Linked DNA regions of Arabidopsis thaliana. The protein of the gene in region 3 purifies or fractionates together with the protein of the main gene of each other region. This does not show direct contact. Each region holds a gene or a part of one and is shown on either strand. Other genes may lie near its edges.

Region 1 (6,229 bases), on a different chromosome or scaffold from region 3:
AAAAGCCTCCACGCTTTCAAACTATTAATTTCAGTTAAGTTGAATAGTGTTAAGTGTTAACTATGGAGAATTGTTTGTTCAATTATTTGATCATTCCATCCACTTGTTTTATTATTTATATCTAGTTTCTTTTATTTTTCAATATCATTTGTAAGTAGCATTAAAAAAATTGAATAAAAATATATACACTTTTTGGACAGCAAGCTCTCTCACTTTTCCTCATTGGTGCTATTTTCGGATATGCTGCAAAAACAACAGAGACAAAATCGTAGATACAAATGTGTTAAGAGGCGCACAACATGAATATTAAATTTTCCCAATACGCTTTTACGTGTAACTCTGAGATATGGTGGCAGCTCGGCCACTAAGGATTCATTTGATAGTTTCAAAGAAAAGCACGCAAAAAAAATCATAGACGTACGTAAGCGGAACACAGAGTCCAGATAGAGTGCAGTTTATTCATATAATCATATTGCATATTTTGACGGAAAAAAAATAAAATCATATTGCATATTTTTCTTCAATTAAAAAATAAATGGGAATTGGCCAATTGGGATATCGACTTACTTTTGGTTATGTGGTTTTCGTCAAACAAAATAAATGGGGAAAGTGAAAATATGTGTAAGCTGTTTCTTTTTTTTTATAACTATAGTAGTAATCGAATCGTTTATTGTTCTTTAGAAAAATAGTATACGAAAAAACGAGAGAATCATTAGGGCTACAATTATAATTATACAAAACCCACTCTATTCCTTAGAGTTTGACCCCACAAGTTTCCTTCGTATTTGGAAAAGACATTAATATTTTTTAAAAATAGCCAACGACGATGACCCACCAACACCACTCTCCATTATTTTAAATTTAATACACCAAAAGTATTACGTAACTTATATAAATTTTAAACCAGATTTTATTGAAGAAATTTAATTACAGTTTTATTCGTCTAAGATCTCGAAGAAATTTTTCTGCAACCATTGATCGATATTCGTCAGATTCTCTTAACTGAAGTAAAAGATGGTTTTCTGTTACTTATTTAACATTTTCTTATTTTTCATATAATATAGTTTTTCTCATTACATAACATTTAAGGCAACATTATAACATTTTCATCGAAATTAAGATCTAACATTAAAGAACCTGCACAATGTAATATGGACAAAACCTCTTAAGCCTAGCAAGTCTTTTGCAGAAATGAAGTTTGAAGATACCAAACAACACATCATCTCTTTCATAATCTCTCCTTATGTGTAATATTGGTCTGCACTTTATGTGGTCATGGACTTAGTCTTGACGCCAATCTTCTTCCAGGAAACACTAGGCATGATTTGTTTCGTGTCCACACGATCTTTAAACTGAACAGCAAAGTTGAGCAACGAATCAAGAAGTGAGTCAGATAGATAGTGAGGCTCAAGTCCAAGTTCCATCAGCTTAGTGTGCTTTGCGTTGTAGTAATGTTCTTCTGCCTCCACTCTCGGGTTAGGCACCGTCATCTTTTTCACGTCTAGCCCAAGCTTTGAACCCGCTTTAGTGACGAGTGAAGCCAGTTCATTGACTGAAAACTGTTCTGTAAATTGGTTGAAGACCCGGAACTCACCAGCTTTTGCCGGGTTTGCTATAGCGATCTCAACACATTGAACCGTGTCTCTTATATCGAGGTAGCCTCTCGTCTGCAAAGGGAAAAACTTCAATCAAAACCTCAAATTTTTCGATTGAAATTTCATGTGAAAACAGATCAAGAAAGTCATTTACCTGACCACCTTTACCATAAACTGTAAGTGGGTGACCAACAGCAGCTTGCACACAGAACCGGTTAAGTGCTGTACCAAACACAGCATCGTAATCCAGTCGGTTACGGAGTTCCTCATGCATCTCTGTCTCATCAGTCTTCACTCCATAAACAACTCCTTGGTTGAGATCAGTGGCTCTAATACCCCAAGCCTTGCAAGTAAAAGCAATGTTGTGCGAATCATGAACTTTGCTAAGATGATAAAAGGAGCTAGCTTGCTTGGGGTATGGCAAAGTGTCAGTTCTACCGTTGTGGGTTATGGTTATATAACCTTCCTCGATGTCAATATTTGGAGTTCCATACTCACCCATCGTCCCAAGTTTTACAAGATGACACTCCTCTCCAAACTCTTTTATAGCAAAGAGAACGTTGAGAGTCCCAATCACATTGTTGTGCTGTGTATAAACTGCTCTGGACCGGTCAATCATCGAGTAAGGAGCGGATCTCTGTTCCCCAAAGTGGACAACTGAATCCGGCTCAAAAGACTTGAAAGACTCAGCTAAGAATTCGAAATCACAGATATCACCAACGTACAACTCAATTGATTTCCCTGTCAAAGCCTTCCATCGGCTGATTCGGTCATGAATGGAGGCAATAGGAGTCAATGACTCAAGTCCAAGCTGGTGGTCGAAAAGACGTCTTACAAGGTTGTCAACAATGCAAACTTCGTAATTCTTCTTGGACAAGTGGAGAGCAGTAGCCCAACCGCAATAACCATCTCCACCAATGACCATAACACGCTTTGGTTTAGAGGATGAGTTATTGGTAGATGTTTCGGGTGGTGCTTGTTGGGTTATAGGTACAGCAGTTGCTCTGAAAACGCAGCTTTTTCTCGGTTTCTTCTCTTGGAAGAGAAGTCCTTTGAGAGAAGATCTTGAAAGAAGCTGAGCATTGAAGAAGGTCTGCCCTGAAACAAACGGCTTAACTGAATTCTTGCTGCTGCTGCTGCTAAGTGAGATAACTGAAGGGCATGAAGCTGAAAGTAGATGCGCCATTTTAAAGGTTTGTTCTTGATTCTATCAAACAAATTCACCTGCAAAAACAAAAGCAGCTAAGATTTCAAGACATAATTTGGTTCAGCAGAACAAGACATATCAAGTAGATGTTTCATACCATATAACAAGTAAGGATTCAGCTGATTTTCTCTAGTTTAACTTCAAATTCAAATCAAAATCCAAAAAGACATGAATAGAAATCGAAACTTTATCTTCACACCCCCCCCCCTAAATCAGCTACGTCCATAACAAGAGAAGAATCAAAACACACGAAATTTGAAGTCTTTTATCGAATCTGAAAATCAGCTATTGTCAAAGACTGGATATTTATTTGATCAACTAAAGTAAATGTAAGAAAGAAGTACATTGATGAAATTCAGAGAAAACCCAACTGAATGAAAACTCTGTGAATTTTGATTTCCTATCATATTCAGAGTTTCTTCAAAACGAAATCACTCAACTTACAAAACCGGAGAAATGAAATTCATTAGAAGAAACGATTGCTTACCTTTGAAAATTTGGAATCTTGTTTAGAGAGAGTTGGAGAAGATCCTTCGAGACTTTGAACTTTGAAGTGAGGGATGGGTCTCTCTTCTCTTCTCCCGGAACGATGAGAGATGAGATGAGACAGATATAAATCATCAGATATGCCCAAAGCATATTCTTACTTATTCCCTTCCCAACAAATTATGGCCCAAAGTGTCGCTTTTTTAAGAACGTTGGTTTATTAGTTTTAAAGTTTTCCGGTTGTGAATGATACAGGTCCGGCCTTTGTGGGCCAGTTTCTCAGTCGCTCATTTAGGCAACTTAAGGAACATTCTTCCCTTACTGGGCCGGTTGGCCCAAATATATACTTTTTGAATATGTTTGTGGCTATTTTCTAAATTTTAACTTTTAATTATTAAAACAGAGAATCATGAGATAGGAGAAAAACAAAATCAACTGTAAAATGCAAACCTAACTTACATAATCTTTTGAATGAAATTTTATTAAGACGCAAAACATTACTAGTATTTCGCATTGTAATAGTCATTTTTCTGCAAGTTGACCAAACAAGAGTCATACTTCTGATGCAAGATACGAACAAAGACTTCAATTATAACAAAACATTCTCATACATCTCATCTCTAATTCTATATTTGTTTTCTCGTAGTTATTATCTTCCAAACTTTAATATTCTTGTCAATGAGGGTACTAGATGAAAATGACGACATTCTATGGTCATTTGATTCCCGTGAACCTCATGTGACCTTGTTAACGTACGTGCACGCACACACAAACCCTCGCACTGATTGACATTCTCCCAATCTTTCTTTATAAAACACACAGACAACTCCATAATATTAATAACCCATATATACTTAGCTTGCTGGTTTCCTTGGCAATAATTTATATAATTCTACAAGTTTAATCGCCTAATCGGATTTAGTAAATGTCTCTCTTACAGGTCTGAAACTTCTTCCACTTCATCTATTTAATGTTATTTTGCTTCTTCAATCCTGTTTCCTCACATAATTTTGCCTCATAATGTTTTCAGGATTTTTGGCAGTTTCTTCGACCATTATCATCTGGTTTGACAGGTATTGTCACTTCAAATCTCAAAGCAATTACTTCATTTCGCTCTTAAACACACTTAAATGCAAATTTTGAGATTTTCTTAGCAAAGTTAACTCAATTTATTTTTGCATGTAACAAAACAGAGTCGTTCACAACTAGCTGTGACTCGGGCGACTCAGACCCGTGCCGAGATGACGCAGCTGCTCTTACCCTCAAGTTCGCAGCTATGGCGTCGATCCTTATCTCCGGAGCTGCCGGAGTCTCGATTCCTCTAGTTGGAACCCTACTTCCGTTAAACGGTGGCTTAATGAGGGGAGCCAAAGCGTTCGCAGCAGGAGTTATCCTCGCAACAGGGTTCGTTCACATGCTCTCGGGCGGATCCAAAGCTTTGTCCGACCCATGTCTGCCGGAGTTTCCATGGAAAATGTTCCCTTTTCCAGAATTCTTCGCCATGGTCGCGGCGCTTCTTACTCTGCTCGCGGATTTCATGATCACGGGATACTACGAGAGGAAACAGGAGAAGATGATGAACCAGTCCGTCGAGTCGCTTGGTACGCAAGTTTCGGTTATGTCTGACCCAGGTCTTGAATCGGGTTTTCTGAGAGATCAAGAAGATGGAGGGGCGTTGCATATCGTGGGGATGCGGGCTCACGCGGAGCATCACCGTCATAGCCTCTCCATGGGTGCCGAAGGTTTTGAGGCTCTCTCTAAGAGAAGTGGTGTTTCCGGTCATGGACACGGCCACAGCCACGGCCACGGGGACGTAGGCTTGGACAGTGGTGTGAGGCACGTTGTTGTTTCTCAGGTAAACGACCTTTTTCTTTTCTTCATATGTTTTTTGACTTTGACTTTGTTTTTCGTAAGCTCTGACTTTTAAGTTTTGAGTTCTTTAATGCTAATAAGATTTATTTATTTCAAATGCAGTTGACTTCATTCATATACAATGTAGCCAAGTCAATTGGATGAATTCTAATAACTGTACATGACTTGCATAAGCTGTTTTAGAGTTGTTATAGTAATCAACTATAAAGTTTTACAATGCCAAGTTTAGTTAGTTGCTAATCACTATATAGATTTTGTTATTGAAAAAAATAATAAAATTTATTTTATTGCTTGTTTAAGTAATTATTTAATGTTATCTTCGTAACTATTATATATAGTACTACTTCATGTTCATTCTACCAAAACATTATTAATATGAAAACGAAAAAATAAGATAATTCTAAAATATCATACTATTATTTAAGTTTTCTTCCAAAGATACAAATGACGACTTAAACGCATTGTGGAAACATTTTTTTTTTTTGGTGTGTGTGTGTGTGTTAATATATTTTGACGTTATGTGACTTAGTCAAACCAATCCGTTTATATAATTTCCTTGTATAGTGTCGATGCACAAAATCAATTGATGATACCCTTATATTTTTGTATTCAGATACTTGAAATGGGAATAGTGTCACATTCAATAATCATAGGAATATCGCTTGGAGTATCACATAGCCCATGCACCATACGTCCTCTCCTTCTCGCTCTTTCCTTCCACCAATTCTTCGAAGGTTTTGCCCTCGGTGGCTGCGTCGCAGAGGCCAGACTAACCCCGCGTGGATCTGCCATGATGGCTTTCTTCTTCGCCATCACTACTCCGATCGGTGTAGCGGTGGGAACGGCCATTGCCTCATCTTACAACTCTTATAGCGTTGCAGCATTGGTGGCTGAAGGAGTGCTCGATTCTCTCTCTGCGGGGATACTTGTGTACATGGCGCTTGTGGATTTGATCGCTGCGGATTTCTTGAGCAAGAAGATGAGTGTTGATTTCAGAGTTCAAGTTGTTTCTTATTGCTTTTTGTTTCTTGGAGCTGGGATGATGTCTGCTCTTGCAATTTGGGCTTGA
Region 2 (6,062 bases), about 11 Mb from region 3:
GCTACTAGTTCTTGAGACGGAATTGGCAGGGACTCTATCTATCCTATTAGAGCTTTTACTGAGGTATTCTGTGAGGTAAGCTTCAACTCTTTGAAGAAGGTCAGTATGCAAATTCACCTGTAAATATTTTTGTATATATCTGCTCTTTAAAGAAAAACAAGCCGTCTTGCGTTAAGTGTAAGAGAAGAGAGTGAGGAGCAGCGGATAATACCTCCCTCTGTGGCTTCTTGTCATCTAAATCAAACCTATAGTTGGGGAGTGGGATCTTACTGAAGACAACAACCTTAGCATATGCATGACTGCAAAAAAGAAACAGAAATGGTTGTACTAGTGAGAAAGAAGAAAGAAAGGAGCAGCATGATTGATGTACCTATACAATCCCAGGGTTGTAGCCAGAGCAGCAAGTTTATCAAAATCCCGTCTATCTTTTTTCTCCCTGGAAATAACTTCTTGCTTTAAAGAATCTTTCAAAAGCATTGAAAATCTCTTATTCCAATCATCCAAGTCGGCACAGTGAAAGGTACCCTCCTGCTGCAAATTGATATGGTTCCAGTAGAAAGATAAAGGGATTTTTATAAAATGCTACTCGAGAGCAAATCGAAAACTAGAATCGCCATTGTAAGAGCATCAATCAAAAAGCTCAGAGATGCATGAAAAAAAGATGAAGAAGAAGTTAACCGGTTGGCGATCCTCGGAAACGCGGTCATCATAAGCGGAGACATAGCGAACTGGAGAGAGAGGAACAGGATTGAAGCCGTAATCGGAACCAAGGCGCTGGTGAGGCGGAACGTACAGCGAAGGAGGAAGACGATTCGTCATCGGAGCCAAATTCAAAACTCTAAACTCTCTCTACTGTAAGTCAAAAGTAAACTATAAAGAGGGAGAGAGATCTCCGCTGCTTCTTCTAACACTGAACTTGCAACTATGCCAATTTTACCTAATCGCCCTCCAAAAATTTTGTAAACTTAAAAGAAGAATTACACAATTTGGTTTTGCAGTCAAACAGTAATCAGTCTTTCTGAGAGGAAATATAGATTTAAGAGGATGTTTTCACGTTGCTCACATACATATATGATATGATCGTGACTCGTGACTGTCTTTCTTTCTCAGAGACAAAACAAAAAAGGGAAAAAAAAACAAAAGACAACAATGGTCCTTAATCCTTATTACGATCTCTGAAATTAACAAATCAGTAGGTGTAACCCTTGACAAACATTCCTTTCTTGGCATCCTCGTTCTCTCCCTCGGCTGAGTATTTGCCGAGCTGGGCCAGTGAGTTGGCCTTTGCCCTCACCAACAGTGCCTTCTGCGAGGCCTCAATCTTCTCCGGCTTGCCTTGCCATGTTCTGAGCACGGAGTTCTGCAGGGCACGTGCGTATGAGAAGGACACATGCCATGGGTTTGGGCTCTGGTTCATGGCGTTCAGGTTCAGTGTGGCCTCTGCCTCTGATTGTCCTCCTGACAGAAACATGATCCCTGGGACAGCCGGAGGAACCCTCCTTTTCAGCATGGTGAGCGTGAAATCTGCAACGGTCTCGGGAGAGGCCTTGTTCTTGTGCTCAGCGCCTGGGGTGACCATGCTCGGCTTCAACAGAATGCCCTCAAACATGACGTTGTTCTGTGCCAAGTAGAAGAACACCTCTGACCACACTTTCTCTGCCACCTCCAGAGTCCTCTCTATTGGGTGGTCCCCGTCCAGAAGGATCTCTGGCTCCACAATGGGGACAAGACCATTATCCTGAGAGATGGCTGCATAGCGAGCCAGCCCCCACGCAGCTTCCTTCACAGCCAGTGCTGAAGGACCGCAGGGAACACTCACCACTGTCCTCCTAGACAAACACACACAAACATCAAAACTAGGAAGAGCATTTTCACATCAAACCAAAGAGTTAATACCATATGTAAGATAACATGGTGAAATATATGACATACCACTTGGCAAAACGAGCGCCTTGCTTGTAGTACTCAGCAGAGCGTGAGGCCAATCCATCCAAGCCTTGGCACCAAGACTCTTCGTTGGAACCGGCTAGGGGAGACAAGCCCTACGCGGTGGATTGCATTGTCAACACTTCACTCAACACACATAAAAACTCAACTACTTATGATGATGATGACAGAATAAATGGATAAAAAATACCTTGTCAACTTTGATGCCAGGGACGATGTTGGCATCGCGCAAGCAATCGACAAAGGTCTTACCGTCCTTGGTGGACTGGTAAAGAGTCTCCTCGAAGAGAATGGAACCAGAGATGTAATCGCCGAGGCCAGGAGTGGTAAGCAGAAGTTGCCTGTAGGCCTGACGGTTGTCCTCGGTGTTATCCAAGCCGATAGAAGCAAGCCTCTTCCCACAGGTTGCATTGGACTCATCGATCGCCAAGATACCTCTCCCAGGGGATGCAATGCTTTTCTATTACGCAATAATCAGAGAATCTCACTCTACGTTTGACTTTGAGAATTACGGAAACGAATCCAAACTAATAAAGCATCAAAGAGAGAGAGAGGATAAGGAGGATACTCACGGCGGTTTTAACAAGCTCGTCGGAGTAAGCACCGGCGCGGATCGCGAAGGAGACTCGAGGAGGAGGAGAAGAAGAAGCAGAGGTGTGAGCAAAGGAGCGTTGGCCGATCCATGGAGAAGAGAGGGTGTTAGGCTTAACGAAGCTAGCAGACGCCATAGGTAGTACAAGGAAGGTACAAAAGTGATGGTGATCAATCTCTCGGGGACTCCGCGGGACAGAGACAGAGAGAGATCTGGGATTTGGAGGAGAGTGTTAAAGCCAAAGGTTTTGTTTACTACTATTAGTAGTCGTCTACTTTGGCATCACCTACTCCCACCACCAAAAAGCCTCCTTCTCTTTACCATTTTATTCCCCAATTTACCGTAAATGACGCTTTTAACCTTGAGGGAGATACTGGTAATTTTTTCTAGTAGTTCATCAGTCTCTCAACAACAAGAATCTGAGAATAACCAAAACTCTACCGTTTCGTCTACCCAAACTATCCTTCTCCTACCATTGCCTCTTCGTCTAACTCAATCGTTTTTCTTAATTAATCAAATTACATGACCTATCACCTCTTCAAGGAGTGTGATGAAAGAGAATGGGCCGGATATTCCCTTTTTTATCTGTTGGGCCACAATAGTAAACAACTTATATAACAGGCAAACTCTTTTACGTAATTGATTTTTGGGCCCAATAGTAATAGGGCTTAGTTTCAGATAAACAATAAGAGCCCACGACAGCTTTGGTGTTCTTGGGTCTTTTTCTTTTTTTTTTTCCTTTTTATTAAGGCAACCATCCAATAAGTCCAAATATTGGTGTTACTCGTAACAGGCGAGGAAGGTGTAAACAAGAAGAGAGAAAATGCAAGTTCCGAGAAACGTTATATATATGCGACATGAGAAAGTGGCAACTTTTTCTTTCTTGTATCTTACACTACTTTTTTGTATTTTTAAAGTATCTTTGATTTGATAACAGTTTTCTAAAACTGTTGGCCACAATTTAAATGCATATTCATATGTATGTTCAAATTTACAGCAACTCAGTTTGACCCCACAAAAAAAGGGAAAAACAACAACAAAATTCAAGACTATATGACTAAATATGTTCAAGTGCTTCAATTATATATTAGGTACAAGAATATGAATATAATGCCAATCTTATCTTAATCAGAGTAGGAACTAGTAATTTTCATATTTTAAGACAAGTTTGAAAGTTGTTTTAATTAAACATGCGTAAAGTTCCATTCTCTGCTCTCAGATGAATGGCATATCGATCATAATTCACCTAGTACTTCTTCTAGAGTGTTCTACGCTGCCTCTACGTATTAGAATATAGTATATGTAAAAGGTGTTGGTGCAGATCTTTGATTAACACTTTGGTCAGTCACATATCTAATGATTTTTAAACGATAAACCCCAAAACGCGTCTTCATACAGTTCACATGCATATGTCACCCAGAAGAATTGACTCTCAGATCTTTCTAGGTGTTTGTGTTCACACTTCGCCACGCTCTCTCTGTTAGAAACGATTTAAATATACAAACAAAGCTAGTCAGTGTTTCCCATTCGAAAAAAGAGAAAAGACAAAAGAGAGTGTGTTATTTGTCTTGTAATGAAACCTATTGAGTATGGTTGACTGGTTGGTGCGTAGGGAGAAGCAGAAGGTGATAGGACCACGTTGTTGTTTATTTGGCAATTCTTTTACAAGCCCTTGGTCCTGTTTTCTCCATCTTCTCTACTTCATTTGTCATTTTCATTGTTTACTTATTAAATTTACATCCATGTTAACTATTTTCATTTAAACAACAACGTACGTGGACCTATCGACTGATCATCCCTTGGTCGACAAACAATGATGGATCGGAACTTGATTTGGTTTTCTTGAGTTATGTGAAAAAGCATCGCATTATCAATTTTAACAACTTTTCTATAGCTCTTAATTCTGTCTAGCTAATAGACCTATAGTTTCTAAAACAAATACTATAGTCTTGCAAGCCGCATGCTACCTAATGCAGTATATATTTGGATAATTTCAAATTGTCTTTATTATTTCCTCATATTTTTATTTAATTATTTAGATAATTTTTATTTATTGTTTTATGAATTTTCTAAAATTTTGGATTTATTATAATTAAGACTTTTGAACTTAAAATTGTATTCAGTTAATTGATTAATAAAATTAAGCTTTTACCTTTTCAGAGAAGAGTATTCTCTAATTCCTTGCTTTCGGTAGATCTTGAAAGATTTCAACGGTTATAAAAAGATGTAGGATTCGGTATTCGAAGAGAATCAACGAATTCCTTACGTTCTCTCGTTTCTGTTATTCTGAGGAATCAACAGATCCAAAAAATTCTAGTTTTCTGGTATTCCGAGGAATCAACGGATGTCTAGTTCTATCCATTAAAACTTCCGCTACTTCAGTTGGTATCAAAGCTAGAACTAGAGATTCGTTGATACACTTAACAAACAAACAAAAAAAACTTAAAATCAAAATTTGACACACACACCAAAATGAGTTACCTTTTACTCATTCATGTTCATACTATATAAAATATATTTTCGTCGAAACAATCACTCCTCCTAAAATATTTTAAATTTTTAATGCAAAAAATATTAGTTGTGTTTTGTTTATTTTATAATAAATGATTTAATCATATAAACAACGAGGATCGATAAGACACTCGCATGCTATTTTTACCAGGATTACATTAGAATGAGAGTCACAACCACATAATGAAGACGATCGTCTGCTAGCTATGTGACGAGAGATGGTAAGTGGTTTCAGATTTTATGATGTAAAGTGGAAGGAGTGGTCAAATAATTAGGTCAAAGAGAGTCGAGGTGGTTGTCACTGGTTGGCTATATCGATGACTAAACCACACACCTACACCTTCAATTTCTATTTTAATTATGTTTTCTGAATAACTTAATACTATCTTATATGATCGTTAGTAACAAATATTTTTTTAAAAAAAATTTATGTACATTCATAGGTAGCACGAAGTGAACAAATACTTGAATTTTCTTGCGTCAATATAGAACTAAGATCATACATACATGATACATAATGAATTTATGTTTATATTAGATATGCGTCACAAGGGAGACAAGAAGCGAAGCGAGGATCGTGCTAAAATCTTGGTCAAGTTCACAAATTATGAATTGCTTTATATATTAAACAATCTCTCACAAAGGATGGATAATTTAATTAGTTGGTTCCCTGTCAGTTGTTAATTAAGAATTAATCACAAACCGCCCACTTCCTTTTTATATTCCAAAAATGCTTCTCCAATGTTCTACACTTAAGTATATCATATAATTAAATGAAACTATGAATGAGTAAAATAATTGAAACATACTATTTAACTAGCTAGCTGGGGGATTTGTAAATAATATAACAAAGGTCGACAATTGATACTTTTTCCATGTTGGGAAATTCTGAAAACTGATCAATATATATGAGTAATCGACAAGAAAATAACTAAAACTTAGACTTTGAATGGTTATAGCGGTTTAAGAAGACAAAAATGTCTATATACCAAATCGTGTTTTATTTACTATT
Region 3 (9,306 bases):
AATTGTTTATATATGTCTGTCAGACCTAACGGTTTTGAGAATCTAGAAAACTTTTTTTATTTAGGGTTCTTGCGTCTATCACTAGTGTTTGTCTTTTTGAATCAAGCCACATATGCTTTACAAGGTTGATTTGTTCTTAAGAGAAATGTCAGGTGCTCTAAAATAGTGATAAAGCGTAGGATAGATGAGTTGTTTGCTAGAGAGGTAACCGAACAGGGCTCGATGAGAATATGCTCCTTTAATCACCTTTCGGAAGAAAAAAAAAAACAAGCATTAGTATATAGGATAGGAAAAAATCATTATGAGGTTGGTCCTCTCAAAGATTCAGTGAGAGTCTAGTTAGAATGAATTAATGTGGCTATACAGAAAATCTATTTTCTGTGAGGAAATACAGGTTTTGGTTCAAGGACTTAGGGCATCTCTAATGATGACCTCTATATTTTCCTCTATTTATAGAGGTGACCATTGGAGATGGTTTTAGTATAGGTGATCTAATGTCCAATCTGATATTTAGTAGAATAATGCTACAAGTCTGATTAGTGGCAATTGAAAAAATTAGCAGAAACATAAGAGCATCTCCCATGTCCTACCTTTATTTTTTTTCACTATTTTAGAGTTGATTTTGTTCCAATGTGTGTCTCTAAAATAGAAAAGATTAGCATTGGTTAGAACTGCTTTTTGTTTTTTTTTGGCCAAAATGTAGAAAAGTGAAATTAAATTTTAACTCTACCAAGTTCCTAGTTTTCTTTGGAAAGGAAGTTCAAGTTGGTATTAAGCTTTTTTTTATAAAAAAAAATCTAACTCTACCCAAAGGAGAGAGAAAAAATAACTACTTCAAAATTTAGATTCCTTTCCTTTAATATTTGGTTGTTTCTTTCACTAAATTTTTTTGTCTCCTTCACTTCCACTTTTTACTCTACATGCAACCATTCAGAACCTATATGTTGTCAGTCAGTTTGTTTATAAAACCTAGAATTATGGTTATTTTGCCAAATTTCCTAATTATAAAATGAAACAATAAATATCCTAAGAATTCAAACTTTTTTCAAAGAGATCATATGGCATAAATATAACCACGATGGTGATCACATCATCCAAATGGAATGTTATACGTATAAGAAAGTGGAACATAAAGAAATGTATTTTATTAAATAAATGAGGGAAGAACTTAGGACTACGTATGTACATTGTACAGGAAGTGAAAGTGAAAGTGATGATGAGGCTGGGAAGAGAAGTAAAAGCCAGTAAAGATACGTTTCTGGATCCGGTATGAGTCCGAATCGCCCCATTGTGGGTTTTGGTGCGAGTGCGAATCGCTTCATAGTGGCTTCATTTAAGCAGACACTGCAGCTGCAGCCTGTTCTTCGTTCGCCGGTTGGAGAGTGCACACCAGATTACGGTCTCCATACACGTTGTCCACTCGCCCTGTTTCACACATATTTAATACATTTTGAAACGATTTACAAATAACAAATTGTTTTCTATGGGAAATGCCACCCCTAGTTTTCAAGTACCTGTAGTGGGCCAGAACTTGGAGGAGCGGAGCCATGGAGCGGGGAAGGCTGCGTATTCCCGTGAATACGGCTTTTTCCATGTATCTGCCATTAGCAATGACGGAGGATGTGGAGCACCCTGTGTGTGTTTGTTTTTTAAAGTTCATTAGTATCAGACTAGAGGGCTAGTCCGAACTGAAATTGTGGTCTCAAATTTTTTCTTACCTTCAGAACGTTGTTGTTTGGATCTGCGTTTCCTTTCTCAATCTGTGAAATCTCTTCCCTGATCGAGATGAGAGCATCACAGAACCTATCTAACTCAGCCTGAAATATTACATATATATATACAAATTATGAAGCCATGTTTTAGAGACTGAGAGCTGAGTCAGTGAGAGATTTGCAATGCAATGCAAGACATAATTACCTTGCTTTCGCTTTCGGTTGGCTCGATCATAAGCGTTCCAGGGACAGGCCAAGACATTGTCGGTCCATGGAAACCATAATCCATCAATCGTTTGGCCACATCCTCTGGTTCAATTCCAGCAGTGTTCTGAGGACATTGAACAAGACATTGATTTAGCATGTACAACCAAAAAACAGAGCATTTACTCAAACGAGATAAAGAAACATACCTTGAATCCTCTCAAGTCAATGATGAATTCGTGAGCGACTGTTCCATTGACACCACGGAAAAGAACTGGGTAGTGGCTCTGAAAGACAAGAAAGCATAAGTGAGGTTGCACAAGAGAAGAGACGTTCACTCTCTTTAAAGAGTTGTCAAGATAAGATAAGGTACCTCCAGACGCTTTGCCATGTAGTTAGCGTTCAAAATTGCAATCTTTGAGGCATCGGTGAGTCCTCCAGATCCCATCATGGCAATGTAAGTATACGAGATTGGCAAGATAAGCGCAGACCCCCATGGTGCTGCAGAAATGGTTCCCAGCGGTGATGTCTGCTCGGGTTCAGGGATACCACCGGTAGGTATCTGTAGCAGAGTAAACAGAATGAGTACAAAAAAGCAGATAACTCAATCATTGAGAAAGATGGATTAGCGATCATAACATATAAGAATTAACACTAACCACTGGGTGAGAAGGTAGGAATGGAGCCAAATGTTGCTTCACACCGATAGGGCCCATTCCGGGACCTCCACCTCCGTGAGGGATACAGAAGGTCTTGTGGAGATTGAGATGGCAAACATCCGCTCCAATAAAACCAGGGCTTGTCAAACCCACCTGGAAGTTCCAAAAACTTTCTCAAATTCACAACTTTTGGATTCTTCAGTCAACATACCAGCAGAGAAACCATACCTGTGCATTCATATTAGCACCATCCATATAAACTTGGCCTCCATTTTCATGAATTATGTTGCAGATCTCGTCGATACCCTCTTCGTAGACTCCATGGGTGGAAGGGTATGTAACCTAATATTCAAACAGAAGTTGTAGAATTAGAAAGTGGATTGACCCAAAAGTGACATTGTTTCATCTATAGTGATGAAAGAAGTAAATACATACCATAAGAGCAGCCAAGTTGTCCTTGTTGGCTTCGGCGGCGTTCCTCAACTCTTCGATGTTAATGTTTCCTTTGGCATCAGTTCCAACGGCAACAATTTTCATTCCGCACATGGCAGCACTAGCAGGGTTTGTCCCGTGTGCAGAAACAGGTATGATGCACACATTTCTGTGATGATCGCCTCTTGACTGCATCATTTATTCACCCATTTACCAAATTTGTTGAAGTGCGAGTTCATATTGGAAAACAAGAAACTACAGGTATGCTTACCATATGATATGCACGGATAACCATGAGCCCGGCGTACTCGCCAGCAGCACCGGCATTAGGTTGCAATGAGAAAGAGTCGAATCCAGTGATCGTACATAAGAGCTCACCCAAATTCGTAAACATTTCCTATAAGTTGTCAAACAAAAAATTCAGTACGTAGTTAAATTTCTAGTCAGGTAAATCAAATATGTGGCCTCACCTGATAACCTTGGGCTTGTTCAACAGGAGCAAAAGGGTGCATGTTGGTGAAACTTGGCCATGTGACTGGCATCATTTCAGTGGTGGCATTCAATTTCATCGTACAAGATCCAAGTGGAATCATGCTGTGGCACAATGATAGATCTTTATTTTGTAACTTGTGGATGTACCTAAGCAACTCATGCTCCGTGTGGTACCTAACCAAATGTAAGAAAAAAGGGAAAGTAAATGTGAGGTACTTAACAATAAGCCACAGGGCAATGAAGGAACCAAGATTTAAAGAAGGTAACATACATGTTGAAGATTGGATGGGTCAGATAAGGGCTCTCTCTTGTTAGGCTAGAGGGAATAGCATTGTTAAACTCCGGTGCAAGAGACTCAGCCGTGAATTGAACCTTGTACATTGGAGAAAACATTATTTTAAGCAAACACGAAAAAAAAGAGTGAACAAGCGAGATGAATGGATATTAGCTTAAAGTAAACTCACGGGCTTGCCCGAAGCAAAAACTTCAAAAAGTTTATCGACATCATCCAAGGTGGTTGTTTCATCGAAAGCAACAGTAATCTTAAAGAACAAGAAAAAAAACCCATCAATGTTAATAATCATATCCAGATATTGAAGAAATATATATATATATATATATATATATATATATATGAAGAAACTCACAGTGTTGGAGTCCACAAGACGCAAATTGATCTCCTTCTTGGCTGCCACATCAAAAATTGCAGTTGCATCTGAACATGTAACTTTGACAGTGTCAAAGAAGGGAAGATCTTGGACTTGTGCAGTTCCCAGTTTCTTCAATCCTAAGGCAAATACACCAGCGAGACCATGAACCCGTTGTGCAATAGATTTTAAGCCTTCTGGTCCATGGTAAACAGCATACATAGCAGTCATATTTGCAAGCAAGGCCTACAATGTAGAAAACGATAATCAATAGCAAAATAGTTTGAAGATGTAAAATATGGTACTGCTCTCTCGGTACCTCTAATTCTTCCCGCTTTTGTTATCACTTATCAGTAATAGTCAAAGCGGTATACACTACATAAATCCTATAGAGTTTGAAGCCATTTTTACCTGAGCGGTACAGATGTTGCTGGTAGCTTTATCCCTGCGGATATGCTGTTCCCTAGTCTGCATAGCCATACGCAAAGCTTGCTTCCCGGAAGAATCAACACTAACACCAATAATCCTCCCAGGCATCATTCTCTTATACTCTTGTGAAGTAGCCAAGAAAGCAGCATGAGGACCACCATAACCCATCGGAACACCAAACCTCTGACCCGACCCAACAACAATATCCGCCCCAAACTCACCCGGCGGTTTCAACATCGTCAAAGCCAACAAATCCGTAGCCATAACAACCTTAACACCATTAGCATGAGCATTCTTAACAAACTCACCATAATCCAACACCTCCCCTTCAGTCCCCGGATACTGAACCAACACTCCACACACATCACCAGAGCTATAATCCACATCCTTAATATCAACCGTCACAACTTTCAAATCGAAACCATCCGCTCTCGTCTTGCAAACATCAATAGTCTGAGGATGACAATTACTAGCAATAACAAACGTCTTCTTCTTCCCCTTTAGAATATTATTACACATCGCCATTGCTTCCGCCGCCGCCGTACCTTCATCGAGCAACGAAGCGTTCGACATCGGTAGACCGGTGAGATCAGTAATAACCGTCTGGTAATTGAGCAGAGATTCGAGTCTTCCTTGAGAAATCTCAGCTTGATAAGGAGTATATTGAGTATACCAAGCAGGATTCTCCATTATATTACGCAAAATCACAGGAGGAACATGAGTGTTATAGTATCCCATACCAATGAACGATTTGAAAACTTTGTTCTTCGAAGCTAAATCACTCATATGCTCAATCATTTGACTCTCCGTTAATCCTTCATCAAATATCCCGGAAAACTTCATCGAATCTAACCGAATCGATTTCGGAACAGTCGAATCAATCAACGTGTTGAGATTATCGAATCCGCAGTAATTCGCCATCTGAGCTTGTTCATCCGGTGTTGCTGAGTTGTGCCGGCGCGGGAAAGTGTCGCTTGGCTTCAACGCATCGACGGAGATCGATCGTGTCTGGTGTTGATTTCTACCGGAGGTGGTAAAAGCCGATCCAGAGACATCACGACGGCGATGGAGAAAGGAGGAGACGGAGGAGACATACCTTGAGGGAGTAACAGTCGTCGTCGGAAGAAGAGAGGATTCGCCGTTACGGTGGCGTTTTGTCTCGTTGACGAGACGTTTCACGATCCCTCTGTAAGCAAGTCTCCTTGCACGCTCCATAACCAAACCAAAAAAAAACAAATGCAAATCTGAGAGAGAGTAGAGAGACACTGAAGAAAATGCTGATTATATATATATATATATATAGATTATAGTTTTGAGGTTGGTAATTATTAATTTAACGTATTTTATTGTGGCTTTGAGATCTGAAGAGGGTTGGTGACTGACAACCACTCAACTCAATAAGCAACTATACAGAAGAAACAAATTTGTTTGCATAGATTCCACGTATTTTGCATCGAAGCAATATGCTGATAAAAAAAAAAAATTATCACCTTTTTCTGGAAAAATTGCGGCTGTAGGATTTTGATATCACTATCTAGAAATTTAAATGTTTGATATGCTAAGGTTTTAAATCGTATAAGAGTTCGAAGGATAGTACGATACATTTATTGCGACTATCGTAGTCATAGTTTTAAGTATATAGTTCATGCAGCCGTTATGGTTATAGAAATTATCAAAATAGTATAGTCAATTCATAGTATAAGTTTTGCAACTGGATACACATCTCTTATACTTTTGTATCATAGAAAATGCTTTAAACCTCGAAGAAAGATTGAATGGAAGAGAATCAAAGTGGAAGAGATTGGAAATATGTGGACGACAATTTTTTTTTTCTTCCATAAATTTGCTTTACAAACAAAACTAAGAAAATATATTGTAAAGAGCTTATGATTATTATGGTTCACATAGTTACATAAATATAGGTGGCAAGATGTGTTTCACATAAAACTTATCTCATCAATGTACGGTTTCTTCGTTGTTCATCATTTGACAACGGAACTATCGTCCTCCAAATATTGCAACTTTTTTTTTTCTAATTAAATTTCATGTTTTTGTTAGTGCGGTTTGGTCGGGGACCCTAGCAAAATATTTCCCATCAACCTAGTAATACCTGTAAAAGAGTTGGCATTTCACAATTGATCACAATAAACATACTTTTTGTGACTCAAATTGATCATTTTATTCATACTTAGTAGTTAGTACATTTAAAACGCGTGGCAGTAAATTGGGTCAAATGATCTATATGTTTAAAGATCTATAAGTAAATTAGGTTACCAAACTAGTCATTCTCTACTACACGCAGAGATGAAAGTTCTAAGCTATGCAAAGTATCAACGGTCGGTCATGACAATCTGGGGTCTAAACCATAAATTATATATTTTGAAATTAATACTCCCTCTATTTCATGAAGTTTGATGTTGTGGGTTTTCACACAAATTAAGAAAAATAACTTTTTATTTTTTTATTATTCTTTTGTTTGTTTAATAATATCAGACACTGCCTTTCTCTTCTCTATATTGGTCACAAATAAAAATACTAATAATATTGATCTAAAACATCAAACTTTTTGGAACAAGAAAAAAAACCTATAACATCAATCTTGATGGAACAGAGGGAGGGAGTATAAACTGTTTTGCAATTTAAGGTTTTTTTCAAATTAAATATTTTTGGGGGCCTATTTACAAATAAATTTTAATGTAATTTTTTGAAAAAAACTATGAGGTCACATACAAATGTTTCATGTTGCTCTCCTCAGGACCGCCCTGAAAATATCCTCTCAAACATAATTGATTGTTAGGTGTTCGAAACAAACAAATTCACTAATGAAATGCATCACATATTCACTAATAAAATCCACATAATTCATCTACTTTCCCCTTTTTGGATAAAAATAAGATAAAAACGAGTGTGTATGTTGCTCAAATATATAAGTCACCATTTCGCCAATAATTTGTCAACGTTTCCGCAAAAGCAATGGATATCACATTTGTTTTTTTCCAACAATTTCTCTAATATATAAGTCACTATTTGATTTGTACCAAAAAAGTGTCACTGTTTGATTTGAAGCCTATATATAAATTTAAAAAAAAAAATAATAATAATAATTATGTTGACAGTGGGATTTGAACCCACGCCCTTTCGGACCAGAACCTTAATCTGGCGCCTTAGACCAACTCGGCCATATCAACATTTTGGTAACCAAATCCACTAAACGGTTTTATCTTTAGAATAATTCTCCTGCAATTTTGACATAGTCTCATGTCTGATTTATCTCCGCTGTATCATAAAATTTGAAACAGTATTTGATGAAAAAAATTAATATAACAAATAAATAGATTGAATTTGATTTCTTTTACAAATGAAACAAGATGTATCATCCATCACCCAGTGCCTATACTGGGCACATAAATCTAATTTTACAAAAAGGGATATTGATGTATCTGTCTATAACATATAGTTTCAGTGTATATATGTGGTACAATCTAACAACAACTATTAAAATCAGATCATGTAAGAACCATGAAGTCATCTTTTCCCTATACAGCTCCAATGATGTCGGAACTCTAGTGCTTGTGGTGAGATCATATATTCCGTAGAACTGTCTCAAGAAGTTTCAAGTGGGGGCAACTCTTGAAACAAACTACTGATCGATGTCATCGGGAGGTAATGTCGGACTCTTGGAGCACATATCCGTCTTATGAAGCTCTTTTAACCGACTCTCCGGGTCACAAAGCCCTAAAGATTTGAGAAGAAAAGCTTGGCTAATTGATTCTTGTGTGACTGCTATTGCTATTATGTGAGAACATATTAATGTTACCTGAGCATTTGGGAATGTCCCAAACTGCTATGGACTTTGGGGAACAATGCGGATCGCATAAAGCGCGGTTGTCTTCGTGATGTACATCCATTGCAAGCATCCAAGATCCGATAGTTACATCTTCATTATTAAACATTCTCAGACTGAAATGAAAAACACCGATAATGAGATTTGCATATCAAAATCTGCTAGTTAGGTACATCAAAAACATTTCAAACCTGCCATTCCTAGCTGCTGCAAGTGAAGCTACTATCTCGGCTGAAAGAACGTATATCGGTCCATAAGCATGTAAAAAGTATTCATTTCCAATCAAATTGCCTTGTTTCTCGTACCTGACAAATTCAGTATCTGTCACCAAAACTGATAAACTCAACAAAGAATTACAGTCACGGATAAAGAGAGGACTAGTTAATACCATTTTAGTTTAGGGTCAGTTATAACTGGTCCTTTCTTCATGCAGCCAATGTATGTCTGTGAATGAAGTCTTTCATTGGCAAGAAGCGTCGCAAGTCGATCTGAACCAAAACAAAAACAAAAGGAATTTGAATACTACTGTGATGCAGAGGAAAACAATCTGAAACACTAGCTCTCAAATACCTGGTCTCAAATAAATGTCATCGTCGGCTTTGACATAATAATCAGCTTCAAAGAGTTTAAAAGCTGCTTTGAAGAAAGCCAACCTACAAGGAGAAGACATCAATCAGTCATTGATAAGAATAAAACTACTAAAACACTAAGAAATAATAGGGAAACACAGATCAACAACCAAAACCAGGATTTTACGTTTTATATGGAAGTCGTATATATTCTTCCTCGGTATCAAGAAGCACAAAATCTCTGTACTCTTTTATCTCCTTCTCAAGCTCAGCCATCTTTTTGGCATCCTTTGACTTTCCAATGACGAATCTAAAAGC

What was found.
Region 1: the proteins of GLDP2 (region 3) and SQD1 fractionate together in Arabidopsis thaliana (co-fractionation; one large-scale study listed by BioGRID). This does not show direct contact.
Region 2: the proteins of GLDP2 (region 3) and PDE345 fractionate together in Arabidopsis thaliana (co-fractionation; one large-scale study listed by BioGRID). This does not show direct contact.

Annotation. Positions count from the first base shown.
Region 1 is NC_003075.7:15,932,603-15,938,831, reverse strand, and holds SQD1 (sulfoquinovosyldiacylglycerol 1), read right to left. Parts: upstream 3,460-6,229; 5' UTR 3,290-3,459; intron 2,820-3,289; 5' UTR 2,782-2,819; coding exon 1,750-2,781; intron 1,668-1,749; coding exon 1,266-1,667; 3' UTR 999-1,265; downstream 1-998. Other genes in the region: ZIP9 (ZIP metal ion transporter family), read left to right, coding at 4,214-4,228, 4,319-4,361, 4,482-5,143, 5,774-6,229. UniProt on the Arabidopsis thaliana protein: Involved in the biosynthesis of sulfolipids found in thylakoid membranes. Converts UDP-glucose and sulfite to the sulfolipid head group precursor UDP-sulfoquinovose.
Region 2 is NC_003071.7:93,817-99,878, forward strand, and holds PDE345 (Aldolase superfamily protein), read right to left. Parts: upstream 3,048-6,062; 5' UTR 2,676-3,047; coding exon 2,520-2,675; intron 2,408-2,519; coding exon 2,138-2,407; intron 2,043-2,137; coding exon 1,933-2,042; intron 1,830-1,932; coding exon 1,190-1,829; 3' UTR 911-1,189; downstream 1-910. Other genes in the region: AT2G01130 (DEA(D/H)-box RNA helicase family protein), read right to left, coding at 1-117, 212-299, 371-531, 679-819. UniProt on the Arabidopsis thaliana protein: Plays a key role in glycolysis and gluconeogenesis.
Region 3 is NC_003071.7:11,107,997-11,117,302, forward strand, and holds GLDP2 (glycine decarboxylase P-protein 2), read right to left. Parts: upstream 6,296-9,306; 5' UTR 5,791-6,295; coding exon 4,558-5,790; intron 4,393-4,557; coding exon 4,147-4,392; intron 4,042-4,146; coding exon 3,964-4,041; intron 3,872-3,963; coding exon 3,771-3,871; intron 3,674-3,770; coding exon 3,478-3,673; intron 3,405-3,477; coding exon 3,279-3,404; intron 3,197-3,278; coding exon 3,011-3,196; intron 2,918-3,010; coding exon 2,804-2,917; intron 2,729-2,803; coding exon 2,576-2,728; intron 2,479-2,575; coding exon 2,290-2,478; intron 2,204-2,289; coding exon 2,126-2,203; intron 2,044-2,125; coding exon 1,918-2,043; intron 1,818-1,917; coding exon 1,719-1,817; intron 1,633-1,718; coding exon 1,515-1,632; intron 1,426-1,514; coding exon 1,334-1,425; 3' UTR 1,007-1,333; downstream 1-1,006. Other genes in the region: AT2G26100 (Galactosyltransferase family protein), read right to left, coding at 8,216-8,310, 8,393-8,535, 8,611-8,724, 8,808-8,907, 8,990-9,072, 9,176-9,306.